Lytechinus pictus: one gene and its partners. The protein of the gene in region 2 purifies or fractionates together with the protein of the main gene of each other region. This does not show direct contact. Links are inferred from orthologs where the notes say so. Each region holds a gene or a part of one and is shown on either strand. Other genes may lie near its edges. The genes, in order: DNA-directed RNA polymerase III subunit RPC9-like, protein POLR1D-like and DNA-directed RNA polymerase III subunit RPC8-like.

Evidence for each region.
Region 1: the proteins of protein POLR1D-like (region 2) and DNA-directed RNA polymerase III subunit RPC9-like purify together in Homo sapiens (affinity purification with mass spectrometry; 5 studies listed by BioGRID and IntAct, with this or other methods). This does not show direct contact. The link is inferred for Lytechinus pictus from reciprocal best matches to the Homo sapiens genes POLR1D and CRCP.
Region 3: the proteins of protein POLR1D-like (region 2) and DNA-directed RNA polymerase III subunit RPC8-like purify together in Homo sapiens (affinity purification with mass spectrometry; 6 studies listed by BioGRID and IntAct, with this or other methods). This does not show direct contact. The link is inferred for Lytechinus pictus from reciprocal best matches to the Homo sapiens genes POLR1D and POLR3H.

The regions. Positions count from the first base shown.
Region 1 is NC_087246.1:31,253,414-31,258,622, reverse strand, and holds the start of DNA-directed RNA polymerase III subunit RPC9-like, read right to left. Parts: upstream 3,040-5,209; 5' UTR 2,942-3,039; coding exon 2,934-2,941; intron 1,223-2,933; coding exon 1,186-1,222; intron 195-1,185; coding exon 96-194; intron 1-95. UniProt on the Homo sapiens protein: DNA-dependent RNA polymerase catalyzes the transcription of DNA into RNA using the four ribonucleoside triphosphates as substrates.
Region 2 is NC_087249.1:40,694,527-40,699,735, reverse strand, and holds the start of protein POLR1D-like, read right to left. Parts: upstream 3,137-5,209; 5' UTR 3,015-3,136; intron 1-3,014.
Region 3 is NC_087254.1:6,938,818-6,944,026, reverse strand, and holds the start of DNA-directed RNA polymerase III subunit RPC8-like, read left to right. Parts: upstream 1-1,699; 5' UTR 1,700-1,789; intron 1,790-5,209.

The DNA of each region.
Region 1 (5,209 bases), on a different chromosome or scaffold from region 2:
CTGCAATGAAAATTCTCAATAGACTACATCCCAAGATTACATGTACTTGGGATAAGTCTCAAACAGGCTGATTTTAGAATAGTTACATAACATACCTCATAGGATATTGTGGCAAGGTTCTGCTGCTTTTTACTGATGCTCTTCTTCCCTCTCTGAGAGCTTCCCGATTGTAATTCTTTAAGCAGAGCATGGACCTGAAAGATCAAAGAAAGATGGAAAGTTCAACAGAGCTGCAAGTAGTACTCCAGCAGCTCAAAAGACATAACTGTGAGATAAGTCATAATTTCATATGTGCCACACAGTATGATAAATTTCTTAGAGGTATATAGAACAGATGCACAATGTGCATAAATGCAATGTTTTTCCAACCCAACAGGACGGTTGTCAGGAATATTAATCTAGGGTGCAACATAACTTTTGTAAAGCACTAGCTTGCCTAGTCAGGTAAGTAAATATCACCACTGCACGATGTATTATTATGCGTGTATTAAATGTGTACATACCTACTATAACTCAGAAGCGTAATAATTAAGGCCAAAAGTGTAATGGCGTAATTTGACATGAAAATCATAAAAAATATGACTTTTCTTAATAGTTGGAAACTCTGGTTCAAGGCATAGGGGTCAAAGGGCATCACATTCTGTATTCTGTCTTTGAAATGGTAAATTTAAAGGAAAGTTAACCCTGATATCAATTTGATTTGGATAGAAGCAGAAAATTAGGGAAATGTATTAATGAAGGTTTGGAAAAATCCATTCAGGAATAAGAATACAGATCGGTTAAAGTTTAATTTTGTGACATCACATGCAAGTAGCTCCCCAGCAACAGTAATAAAATCTAAATTATTCTAATTTGTCAGAAAATTGAAAACAATTTTATCTGTGCATTTGATATAGCATCAGACACTTTATTTTATACACTCTTTCATGACTAAATATTCTGGCATAAAAAAGGTGCCTTTTCCATGTAATTCTCTGGTGACTCTAATCAAAATAATCATAGTACATAATCATTCTTCTTTCAAAATGTGTGTTTGAGCATGTATTTCTCAATTTTCAGTGTAAATATTACTTTATACAGACCGATTTATTTTTACACCCCACCACAACTGGTGACAGCATTCTTACTATGCTATCAAAACCAAAAGTCAACACCATAGCTTGAGGGTAACTTAAAATTACTCACCTCAAAGTTGCTCAACATAGCAGCACTTTCTTTGATCCTGTAAATAAAAGAAAAATGAACCCTTCATTTTAAAATACAAGGAAGCAAAAACTTCATTCTACATGTACATATATTTTTATTTTTACTTGCATCGGCCGATAAATATCATAAAAGATTTATGATATTTATCGGCCAATGCAAGTATTTAACGATTCATGATATTTATCGGCCGATGCAAGTATTTTTTTAAAATCTAAATTGGCACTGCTCATGATATTGTCGCCCTCTATACACGCGTCTTGTATCTAGGTATCGATAACAAAGACGGCGAAAATAACAGACTGGGTAAGTAAACGCTCGTACTCTTAATAATTTCTCTAATTTACTACTATTTACTGAATAAATAGACGCAACGTTATCATATTCAGGGGTAAATATTGTTTTGGCCCATTTACGTTAGTTTGGGCTCAAAACCCTAATAAAATGTGTGATTTAGGTCTAATTTCACCGTGGGAACACCTACGGTATGTGTAGAGCAATGGTATCCCGACCAAGGCTTCATGGAGAGTAAGCCTACGTATAGTAGATGACTTTTACTCTCCAGAAGCCTCCAGGCTAATTCTACCCTATTTTGGAGAGTACCCATGCTTGGAAGGAAAGTAGAAATCTCGGGGGCGAAAGTTTCAGGTTTTTTGGCGGTACACGCAGATGAATGGGATGGAATCCCTGGCTCCTTGGAGAGTAAGCATACGTTAGTAAATGATTTTAGCTCTCTACTCCTCTAGGACTTAGAGCCTCCTGGCTAATTACATGGACGAGTCCGGGTGTGTCACTGTGTTCCATAAAGCTGTTCATAAGTTAAGTTAAGACAATAAGAGCGACTTTAAAAGAACGACTGGTGATCCTTTCTTGTGGAAAATGGTATATTCATTGGTGATGGTTAAGCGCGTAAGAAAGGTTCACCAGTCATTCTTAAAGTCGCTCTTAACTTCCGAACAGCTTGATGAAACGGCCCCCAGGGCTCCGGCCCGTGAAGCGGGCCGTAGCTCCCCGGGACCGGGTTAACGTCACATCAGTCAGACTCACTGATCTGAGTCTGATACCCCTTTCATATTCATAAACCCATCCTCTAATTAGCCGCCTAAGCCTAAGGCTAAGAGTAATGCGGATAATTCAATAAAAATTGCGTTCACAAACTCCGAAAATAATCCGCACTATTTTTACGAGCGCCCGTCCTGAAAAAGGGGGATAATCGTCATGGCAACCGCACACACCCCCTCCGATGCAGTTGTGTTGGAAAAGGGTGACCTTGTGAGTTGTGACCGCACCATCATGCCATGGGCATGGCAATTATCCGTATAATCTATAACGCCAACGGTATGTCATGTAATTGTACTTTGGACATGCGTTCATAAAGTCAAAATCTGGTCCCGATGCCGCTATTATGCGGATAATTGCAGCATCAAAATGAAGCGGATAACTCTGGTCCTCCTCCGATTTTACAACCAAATTATGCTGCTATTAGCCGCATGATTGGGTTTATGAAAGGGGTAAGACAAGTGCAAGTGAGACTCACTCACTCACACTCACTCACAGACACAACCACGGCACCATGGCCACAGTCACACATGCACGTCACCGACGTCCGACTCTGCTTTTCCAAACACGCCAAATAAATTTGACTAAATAAGTAGAATAAAAATCACCTTTCGTGCATACAGCATAACAAAATGAGATGTTTGTTATCATATTCCCTAACAAATACTTACACTTCCATTGTCTTCTTCGGTCTTTCGGTCGCGTCTTCGGAAGGCTACAGCGAGCTTGTTATGTAGTCCCAATCATTTTCTTTTGTGCATTGTTATTCAAGTTTTCGGTATGGTATCTTTCAGTTATGACCGACATGAAAATTTGCCTCAGTTTTACATAGAATTCCAGTTTGATCCACTAATCTTTACACTATATAGACTAGATACAGATCAGTGGCTACTGGGTCATAGATGTTCATTATTATAATACGCAAGGATCTTCAGACTTCCACCTAACTAAAAAAAGCACTTCTTTAGCAAAGAACCAATTATCTGGAATAATTACAATTTTCTGTTAAACCTAGTCCATCATTTAATGTTTTTAAAAGGAGATATAAAACCCAACTTCTAAGCAAATATTCTAATAACGTATATTCAGGTGTTTTTTCTTCTTTCGTTTTTATAGTAATTATTGTTGATATACATCTATGTCTATATATTTTGTCATTGTGTCAAAATTTGTATTTCCCCCTTTTTATGCTCAATGTTTATATCTGGTATTCAGTATTAACATTTTTATTACATTACATATTCAGTTTCCAGTTTTGTAAAGGTGGCAGCACTAATAAGGCTTTGCCTTTCTAGTTGCCTCCCCATTCATTTATATATACTCTTTTTTTCAAATGTTTTCCAGATTTGTATCATTGAATTATTTCATTGACATAAATTGTAATATATGTTAACTTTGCATGTACCTTGTTTTGTTCTGGTTTTTATGATGAATGGAATAAATGCTATCAAATAAAAATATGTATATAATAAAAGGGGTGGTCTGTATTATCCCGCGATAATTTACAGAATAATATCATACTGATTATATGGCAAGTATGATTATGATGATAAGGAGGAAGTTGAAGATGATCGATGATCATAATATGTTTTTTTTCAAGAGGAGTGCTTTTTGGGGGCTAGATATGGCACATATTGGGTAAAATTTATAAAAGTTGCAAGAGAGCTAGGCGAGCGAGCAAAAATTTCAATAGTTTTATAACAAAAATCTAATTTTGTTATAGATTTTGACATAATATTCAGAAAATGATATTATATTAAAGATTCAAGGATACATGTATTATTTCGTTTTTGAATGAAGTATTTTTCCGGCATAAAACATATCATAAAGTGGGGGGGGGGGGTGGGGGCTTCCCCTGTCTCCTCTGGGATTTCCGCCCATGATGGTAGTGATATGAAAATGCATGATAACCATCAGTTTTTCTTTCTTATTTTCCATCAAAATTTGTTTAGTTTTCTATTTTTCCAAAACAATTTTCCCCATTGTGCTGCACTCAACCCAGGTGAGGTGAATGGGTATCCGGTATATAGGATTAATTTCTTGAATGCAATTAGCGCTGAAAGGCAGCTCGAGCTAAAATAAAGTGGGGGTAATAATAATATTAAACAATGCGGCTCGGAATAGATTATTTCTAGATTGATGGCGTATATAAATGCCTAATATTATTATTATTAAAAATTTCATCTCGTGCTTCACGCTCGTATTACTGATTAAATAGTTCTTATGAATTACCTATTCTTCTTGTGAAAATAAAGATATAGCTTGTACTTATAAGACTTCAGTCTCAAGGACTACCCTACCCAACTGATGTAAGGAGGGGGGGCTTAAGGGACCATGGAACCTCCCCCACAAGTTTCACAGCCAAGAAAAAAAAAAGGAAAGGGGGTGGAATATAATAATATTTTTTAGCATTATGTCGAAATCCATCACAAAATTAGATATTTGTGTAAAAAAGTTCTAAAATTTTGCTCACTTGCTGCTTTTTTAGAAATTTATTTTGCTCCACATGCCATTTATGGACCCTCAAATTTGTTTGGCTCATATGCCATTGACCCCCAACACCCCAACGCCCCTTCTAAAAAAAAGTCCCTGAGAACCTACACTCATAGACCTTTACATATAGGCATATAAGTGTAGGCTACCATGAAGGCCTTATTATACATGTTTTTCCATATCCTTCATGGTTTTAGTGTTAGGTTTCATGACGCATGCATGTGGATCCGTACAGCAGAGGGAACACGGGGGGGGGGGACTGGGGCAGAGATAAAAATTGCAGGGCCGTAGAGGTTAAAAAATGTACAAAAATATTATTAAAAAGGAAAAGGCAGAGGTTAAATATATTTTTGTATATACAAAATGTTTCCCAATGTCTTTGTTGTAGGTGAAAGCTACAGCAGAGGGGGGGGGGGGGGGGGGGTTGTCGTTTATGAAATGACCATCGGAATAC
Region 2 (5,209 bases):
TCACAGACCTGTGTTGTGGATGCTCCAATTTTGTCGATCCCGATTCCTTATGTGGCTGAAATTCAGGCCAAGGATTGATAAGATAGATATTCGGCAAAAAAGTCTGACAAAATTTGAGCTGAAATTATTTTCCTAGCATCGCCAGATCGGCCGATGCGAAACTGTATTAACACTCTAAACCTGTCATTGACATTAGAACGTCCAAAATATACACTACGTCGGCCTAGAATCTTATTATACTAGCACAATTAGCTATGCATGAGCATCAATTCTCTCCGTATTTACCTGTACGTACATACCTCCTCACGACCGAGTCAAAGGTCAAGTCACTGTGTTAACATGTGGAAACTGCAAACGAGGGAATCTTCTGGTAAGAAAATTTTAAATTTTCACCTTTTCTTTTTGTTCTTTTTTAAGGCACTTACGTGCATTTAGAGTATAAAGGCTTACGAATTGGAAAAATTACATGTTTTCCCAACAATTATTGTGGCAAAGATAGATTTCCTAGGGAAATCCATCTTTGTTTTGATGTCTCCTCGCTGAGGACCGTATGGGCAGGGTGTCAAGGCTCCATGATGTAAGTATAGTCTAGATGTCAAATTATATTTTAAAAAAAAACCTCATCAAGGAGTCCTCAAGGCTACTAGGTCAAGAAGACTAGAGTAGAGCCAAATTCAAGATTTTGAGTGCTCATGACGAAAAACTTCCATTTGAGAACACTATACCCCAGTTTCCCTTCTCATCAATTCTCTTCTCCAAGTACGACAAACTCTAACTGCCCCAAGCAAGCAATTTAAGTATCAAAACACCTGTTTCTTGACGTCGGTCCGAAGATAACACAACAGCCCGGCATATACAGTCACAGCAGGGGGCCACACACGATGGGATGCATGCGCAGCGCTGAGCTCGGTTTCTGCAAAACATGCCGTCATTTTTATTCGCTTAGTCCGGCTTACTTTCCTTATTAAGAGGCTGATTTTCTTCGTTCGAAATTGAAAATGGACTAACATTGGATTACTGAATACAATATGCCTTTGAAAACGTGATTAAATATCGAATACAATAATTTCATTCCGAAGGTCCTACTACAGGCAGAGAAGCCTTACGTAATAGCACAGCTGTTGTTTATCTTTTGGTCCTTTGCTCAATGCTCATATACTGGCATGTGGAGGTGAAATTGAGACAGCGGGGATTACCCCTGGATTACCTGGCCAAGCGCGGTTGATAAGGGCTTGGAAATGATATTTGGGAGATCCACATGAAAAATGGGGTATAACACCGCAGTTTGCAATCTGAACTGCGGTCTTTCTCCAAACGGGGGTTTGACGTAATGTCTGGAGACTAACGTATAGACTAGTACTAGTAGAAAAGTCACTCATTCAATGAACAAGGTTATATGATATTAGTTACCTTGTTCTTAGACCAAAAGCTTCAGTCTCTGTATTTTGGTTGTTCCGCTGAACTACGTTGGCTCCACTCACCATACATAGACTGAAGGGGATGGGGCCCCGTACCTACAGCCAACGTATAGTGAACTAGCGTTTTATAGATCGCGATTTAAAACTGTTTTTTAAGCAAAATTGAAAGTTTCATGGTTTCCATTATCAGGGAAATATAAATAACTTAAGTAATTGCATACCTTGGGCCGGAGTTATTGAAAAAAATCCTCTGGATGATTGAGAAATCTGTCATCTAAGACATTTTCACCTGACCTGACGGTTTTTCTTGCAAGTTGCCATCTTGAATGACGTCATTATCGTTATTAACTTAATGTCTCGAATCGATATATCGCGATTATAACTAGTACTAGTACTAGTATCGTTTATCTTCGGTTTCGTTCGCATATGGAGCAGATCGTATAATATCGAAAGCAATATCGATATCACATTCGTGATTGTTGACGTTCGTTTGTAAATATTTTATAGTTTGGCTGCCATTTTGACCATTTTTATCGTGTTCAACCCAATTAAACATCGGTAAAGTATATTTTTCATGCCTTTTTCATCTATATCGTTTAAAGTATGTAAATATTGAAATATCAAGGTTCAAAAGTTTGTTGTTTATACATCCTTAGATTGTAAATTCGATGTGTAAAATTACATCAAACTTTGGACTGTGAATTGACAAAAGGGAGGGAATGAGAACACATGCGAGCCCACACGTACACCCTACCGTCGGTAAATGGGGATTACAGTAAAATGTCAGAAATTGTTGAATAAATCCCCAGAAACGACGGTTATTCCTGTCTACCTTGTTCTCTGTTACTACTCCATGTGTGGCAAAATAAGGTTGGCAATGTTTGGCTTATTTTCTCTTTTTCTTTGGGACAAATGCTTGATATTTTTACACTGTCAGTTTCCATTACACTTTACAGCTATTCATCATAAATATTATAACTTGGTCTTAAGTAAATTTGATTCTTTAAATTATTTTTTCTTAAAAATAGAGATTGAAAAATGACAATTATCTTGCCATATTAGTAATAGTATTACTTTCCACAAGAGGGCATACACAAAATTATGCCCAAAATTCAAGTTTTCAAGCGCTCTGGTGAATACCGTACACAAATTACGGTACCGGTACTCCCAAATTACTAATAAAAAATAAATTGCAACTGTATGGAAATTAGAATTTTTGGTCACAAAAGTGATATTTTAATGTCTGAACTTTTAAGTGTGTGCTGTGTACTGCATTGGGCATTGGCTTACCATAGATCTAGTACAACAAGTAACGTTAGATCTAACGTTAGATTCCACAGGCAGGGTGATTGCAGTGAACAAGTGGCAGGCTCTCAGACTCAGTCACGCGCCGCGCCGGCTCCGCCGGCGTGAGAGTCTGCCTGGGTTAGCACCACAGTAAATTAATGGTGTGGGACAAAGGTAAAACTAAAGACTCAAGTCAAACAAACGCTCTTTATTTTTCGCCGATTAAATTACAGACCCCCTCTTGTTCTCTTTTACAGTAACTCCCACATTTTTAAAGTACATTAAAGTACGAATGACATGTTCTTTTACCAAATGGAAATACACTGTCAGTCATCGCATAATCACGACAAGGACTTCTCAACTCTGCGCTGTTCGTTCGTGAAAGCAGACAAATAAGTGAACGCAGCTGACTATATAATTTCAAGCACGTCGCGTCATAAGTACAAGTACGGTACGGTATACAGTCCGCTTGAAACTTGTCAGCTACGTTCACATGGCCTACATGTAGCCTGTTCCAACATAAACTAATGCAGACCTTTTGGAGGGGGCGAAGATGCCGCCCGACCCCACTCCCCGATTGGAGGGGCAAAAAAAAAGTAAAAGAAGGGGGTAGGGAAGAAGGGGAGAAAAGGATGGGAAAAAAAGATAAGAGGAGCCAAAGTGAATGATTCTTTTTTTAATGAGATTCTGCTTTACTGACATGACTGAGGAAAAAAAACACCTCGGTATAACATGGCCGGGGGACTAAAGTATCCTGTTTCCAATCCTGCCCGCGGTTCGAGTTTTAATTATTTTTTTTCACCGAGATACCCACCATCATGAATTTAAAAAATGCTGAAAAAATGGAGCTTGCGCTACGCGCTCGCAGTCACATGCATACAATCTTGTTATAAAGTGCTTAACACGTTCCCTCTTGCGGTTCAGTATATAAATTTTAGCTCGCGCTTCATGGTTGTATTTGTTTGAGATACTAGTGCTCAGCTAGAGATTCATTTTATTTATTTTAACGCCAAGTTTACCTATTGGAAAATTACAAATTTTCAATTTTGGCTTCGCGCTCGCATCATTTATTTAGGAAGATACATTCTTTTCATGATTACAAAGAATATTTGTCCCGTTTTTAGGTTTTCGGCTTGCTCTTCGATCGCGCTCGGCAATTATGATTAATGTTTTTTTTTCATATATTGTTATAAAAAAAGTGCTTAACCTATTTTTTTAGGTCGAATTATCAAAATAATCCTGATAATGTTTACAAAAATTGTTCAAAATTGTCAAGTGTTTCAGGTCGAGATAAAAAAATCAGTTCGCGCTTCGCGTCACATTATATGGTTGGTGAGATTTGTTCCTCCGCATGAGTCACTGCAAATAGTTCAAAGTATGGCCCTTTTCGGGTTTGTGTATTAAGATTTCAGCTCGATCGCGGTTAGCCCTCACATTAATTGTTTATAGAGACATACCCATCTCGATCTTAAAAAAATTGCTTAGAATGTCAAAATTCTTCCAGTCGGAATATAAACAATTTAAAGTTGATGCTTCGCGCTCGCATTATTTGGGAGGTGAAATATGTATCCTTCACATGAGTCACTGCAAACAGTCCGAAAAGTGGCACTTTTCAGGTCAGTGTAAAAAAAAATTCAGCTCGCGCTTCGCGCTCGCATAAATTTTGTTTCTAGTTAGATACGTATCTTGATCATGAAAACAAGAAATGCTTAGAATGTTCAGATCTTAGATCTGACAATAATGTCTACATGAAATAGAGACAAAGTGGAATTAGACCAGCCATCTTTATTTTTTGCACCAACAGCTTCAACGTTTTCGCACTAGGACTTACCTTCCCTGTCTACGCTTCATGTTTTGCTTTGCTCTTCTAACCATTGTGGGACTGTGACGAAGAACATAATATGTCTCATGCTAAGCAGGTGCCTGCAAGTCACCAAGGATGTGTTATACACAAAAATTTCAGAAGCATTTACTCGGAAAATGGTTAGAATAGGGGATAGAATATCATTGAAAATTGCAGTGGGAAACCAACAAATAGCTCGGATAAAGTTCGCTCTCAAAAAACAATATCTCGGTCACCCATGACATAAACAATGTGTCATTTAAAGTCAGTGGCGTAACAGGCGGGGGGGCAGGGGGGGCAAGCTGCCCCCCTCCCAGGACCAAAATCCAATTGAAACCAGTTGGATTTCCAATTGGTTTCAATTGGTTTCAACTGGTTTCAATTGGTTTTAACTGGAATATAACAATTTCCAGTTGAAACCAATTGAAACCAGTTGGGCAACTGGAAATCCTAACTGGAACCAGTTGGGTAACTGGAAATGACTTCCAAATGGAAATGATTTCTAACTGGAACCAATTGGGTAACTGGAAATCCTAACTGGAACCAGTTGGGTAGCTGGAAATGACTTCTAACTGGAAATGATTTCTAACTGGAACCAGTTGGGTAACTGGAAATCCTAACTGGAACCAGTTGGGTAACTGGAAATGACTTCCAACTGGAA
Region 3 (5,209 bases), on a different chromosome or scaffold from region 2:
AAAAAAAAGAGGAACGTATTTTTTTGCAATTGAGTGAAATGAATTTTGCAACAAGAGTGAAATGTTTTACGTAGCGAGAGGAATGGATTTTCACGTGAGGAATGAATTTTACGTACAGTCTAATACGGCAGCCGCCGTCGTATGTGTTATCCAACAAAAGTGAAAGGATTTGTTTTCTCTCAGATTTAAAATGTAACAAGTGAAAAAGAAACTAGATTTTAATTCGTCGTGCGGACGAATTAGGTGGTCGGTCGTAGATAAACAGACATAATTATTCATACAAATGAGTGGATATAAGTATGAAAGATAAATAGACAGACAGATAGACATACATATTTAAACAGATACGTATAAGAAAGATAGATAAATAGATAGATAGATCGATGGATGGAGAGATAAATGATAGGTGGATTGATCAATAGAAGATAGATATATATTAATAAAAGGGATTAATATATAGATAGATATAAACAGATAAATAGGTATTAGATAGATAGACAGATAGACATTAGATAGATATTGATTGATGATAAAAAATACGATGAGGAGGATGATGCTGATGATTGATGGCAAATATGATGATGATGATAACGGTGATTATGATATTATATTTGATATACACATAGATTCAGAGACAGATAGATACATAGATACATACGCAGATAGATAAACAGATGGATAGATATATAGATAGAGAGAAAATAGATTGATATATTTATTGATAGATAGACAGATAGAATAACATATTTAACAGATTTAATAGATAGATATTAAATAGATAAACAGACAAATAAACAGACATGATTATTTGCACAGATCAATAGATATTAGATTGAAAGATAAAAGGTAGACATACAGATAGACATACATATTTTGAACAGATAGACTTAAAATAGATAGATAGATAGATAGATAGATAGATAGATAGATAGATAGATAGATAAAGATAAATAGGCAGATAGATAGAAATTAAGACAGATATACAGACATTTAAACAGCCGGATAAATCATTAGATAGATAGATAGATTGAATGATAAATAAACAGATATAGACATATTAAAATAAATAAATAGATATTAGATAGATAGATATAGAGACAGACAGATAGATAGATAGACAGACATATTTAAACAGATAATTGTTAGACAGATAGATAGAAAAATAAATAGTTCGAAAGATAGATAGATAAATAGACAGACAGATAGATGGATAGATAGATAGATTTAAACAGATAGATATATATTAGGCAGAGAGATAGATAGATATATCATGTAGGTAGATAGATAGATGAATTTTACGTACGGTCTAATACGGCAGCCGCATGTGTTATCCAACAAAAGTGAAAGGATTTGTTTTCTCTCAAAATTAAAATGTAACAAGTGAAATGATTCTTTTCAAAAGTGAAACATATTTTTTTTGGAAAAGTGAAATATATTATTTTTTGAAAAGTGAAATATATTTTTTTGAAAAGTGAAATATATTTTTTTGAAAAGTGAAATATATTTTTTTGAAAAGTGAAATATATTTTTTTTGAAAAGTGAAATATATTTTTTTGAAAAGTGAAATATATATTTTTTTGAAAAGTGAAATATATTTTTTTGAAAAGTGAAATATAAATTTCTTTGAGTGAAATGGTTTAGTAGAAGAGAAACATATTTTTTTCAAGTGAAATATATATATAATTGTTTCCCTATGGGCGTGCCATAGTCGAGCTTACAAGTTACACGATTTGCATTCACTTTTCTCGATTTAGGGTCCAAAGAAATCTTCTCCTCGGCGCCGTTGTATGTAAGTTCTTTTTGCATTTAAGTTTATTTCATCAATTAAAAGAATGAAAGTACCATGGAGTATGCAAGATTAGAAAATATTCATTTATTTCTTTGTTAAATCGAGGTAAATTTTGGTGATTCGAAACGTAACATGCAGAAGTTTAATGCTGTGTCCCATACGTAGTGATTTGTGTATTTGTTTTTTTATTATTATCATCTCAGTCATAGTCAAGCATAGTCATCATTAGACCAAAAGCTTCAGTCTCTGTATTTTGGTTGTTCCGCTGAACTACGTTGGCTCCACTCACCAAATACAGAGACCGAAGTTCTAGCGCGATCTGTACAGGGGACTCAATGGCCATATGTTTATGTACTTAAGATCGGATAAAACGGGGAAGTGAATTTGCGCGACAGCCGAGGTAAGTCACTGTTTTTGTTCCTTTTACCTTGATTTTTCTCCGTTTTTGGGCAATTAATGCCAAGAGGGAATATTAATTTGCATTTTGGTCGCGTTAATTTTCAAAATTTTTATTCATTAAAGACAAAAATTGAAGAGCCCCGACGGGGGGGATTTCGCATTGCAAGTCCCCTAATGGTGGCTGCACGCTAGCGAGCCGTCTGTGTACGAGAAGAATTAAAAAAAAAAAATGTTAAAAAACTCCTCGAAACAGACGGATGGCAGCTGTCTAAGTCATCATAATCTGGTATATTTCCAGGGTTGGGCGGTAAATACCGGTAGCGGTAATTACCGGTGGTAAATACTGGTAAATACCGTCCGGTAAATAAGATGGGCGTCCGGTAAATATGGAAAAAACAGGAAATATGATTTATAATTCTTTTTTGTCTCGCCTGCATAGCAGAGCGAGACTATAGGCGCCGCTTTTCCGACGGCGGCGGCGGCGTCAACATCAAATCTTAACCTAAGGTTAAGTTTTTGAAATGACATCATAACTTAGAAAGTATATGAACCTAGTTCATGAAACTTGGACATAAGGTTAATCAAGTATTACTGAACATCCTGCCTGAGTTTCAGGTCACATGACCAAGGTCAAAGGTCATTTAGGGTCAATGAACTTAGACCATGTTGGGAAAAAAATTTTCAAAATCTGAACCGAAGGTTAAGTTTTTGAAATCACATCATAACTTAGAAAGTATATGGACCTAGTTCATGAAACTTAGGCATAAGATTAATCAAGTATAAGTGAACATCCTGCTCGAGTTTCAGGTCACGTGACCAAAGTCAAAGGTCATTTAGGGTCAATGAACTTTGGTCAAGTTGGGGGTATTTGTTGAATTACTATCATAACTTTGAAAATTTATGGATTTAGTTCATGAAACTTGGACATTAGGTTAATCAAGTACCACTGAATATCCTGTGCGAGTTTCAGGTCACATGACCATGGTCAATGGTCATTTAAGGTCAATGAACTTTGGCCGTGTTTGGGGTATATGTTAAATTACCATCCAAACTCTGGAAGTTTATGGATCTAGTTCATAAAACTTGGACATAAGAGTAATCAAGTATCACTGAACATCCTGTACGAGTTTCAGGTCACATGACCTTGGTCAAAGGTCATTAAAGGTCAATGAACTTTTGCCGTGTTGGGGGTATTTGTTGAATTACCATCCTAACTCTGAAGTTTATGGATCTAGTTCATAAAACTTGGGATATAAGAGTAATCAAGCATCACTGAACATCCCCTGTGAGTTTCAGGTCACAAAACCAAGTCAAAGGTCAGTTAAGGTCAATAAACTTAGGCCATGTTGGGGTAATTGTTGAAGTGCCATCATAACTTTGAAAGTTTATGGATAGAGTGATTGAAATGTGGACATGGGTGTACATGTAGTTGACAGTCTTAAGTCTCCGTTCAAATGTCATTTATGGTCAATGAACGTGGTATTATGTCATTATATGAATGATGTTTTTGTGAATGATTATTTTATAGTAGTTTTCAAAGTTAGCACTGCTGCTATATTAAATTGCGTAATGCAGGCGAGACTGCCAGAGGCGTTCCACTTGTTTTCAATAATTTTAGTATTTTTTTTAGTTGTTTTTAACCTCAACAAATGAAAGTAGTGTTCTGAAATAATTAGAATCACAAAACTCATAGTAGCTAGAAACACACAAACAGATAAAATCCATACTGCATACATGTACATACCCAAACACACATAGGATCTAAGTCCACACATACGCACACAAACTCAAATTATGTTCCTGGAAATTGAATAATCATATTAAAACATAAACAAATATTTCTCTTGGGGTTTAACTTTTTACATGCCATTGTATCTCATTACAATATGATTTTTGTTTTAAGTGTGAATAAAGCTCTGTATTCTACTGTATGTAAGGAGTTTTAGTGTTTACATGTATGAGTGTGTACTAGTGGTTGCTGGTTTTGAATTTTGATATTGCTTACAGAAAAAGATCTTTTTGTAGCCTAAACAAGGCAAAAGCAATTTTGTGTCTCGCCCACTTATGAAAATAACCAGAAATATCGTAATTTGCGAGGGCACGCAAGAGAATTATATCAAACTTCATTGTGAAATGACTGGGATGGAATAACACTTGTCATAAGAGCCTTGCACGTAAACTTTAATGTTGACCTGAAAATGACCTTTGACCATACCATGTGACCTCCAACTGCAGCATAACATGCAGCTCGCCTAAGTACACCTACCATCCAAGTTTTGTTGAAAAATAACTCACGGATGCGGAGTTAGGTGTCATAAGAGAGTCTTGCATGTAAACTTGAACGTTGACCTCAAAATGACCTTTGACCTAACCATGTGACCTCTGACTGCAGCATAAGATGCAGGTCCCCCAAGTCCATCTACCATCCAAGTTTGGTTGAAAAGTGACTTACAGTAGTGGAGTTATGTGTCATTACAGGTTTGTGACAGACGGACGACGGACGACATTTGGATCCCTAAGTCTCGCCTTCACCTCTGGTGGGCGAGACAAAAATTACAAAAATTTGCCATTTTTGTCTCGCCCACCAGAGGTGAAGGCGAGACTTAGGGATCCAAATGTCGTCCGTCCATCGTCTGTCGTCCGTCCGTCACAAACCTGTAATGACACATAACTCCACAACCGTAAGTCGCTTTTCAACCAAACTCGGATGGTAGATGGACTTGGGGGACATGCATGTTTTGCTGCAGTCGGAGGTCACATGGTAAGGACAAAGGTCATTTTCAGGTCAACGTTAAAGTTTACATGCAAGACTCTCTTATGACACCTAACTCCACAACCATAAATCGCTTTTCAACCAAACTTGGATGGTAGATGGACTTGGGGGACCTGCATGTTATGCTGCAGTTGGACGTCACATGGTAAGGTCAAAGGTCATTTTGAAGTCAACGTTAAAGTTGAAATGCAAGACTCTCTTATGACACCTAAATCCGCAACCGTATGTCGCTTTTCAACCAAACTTGA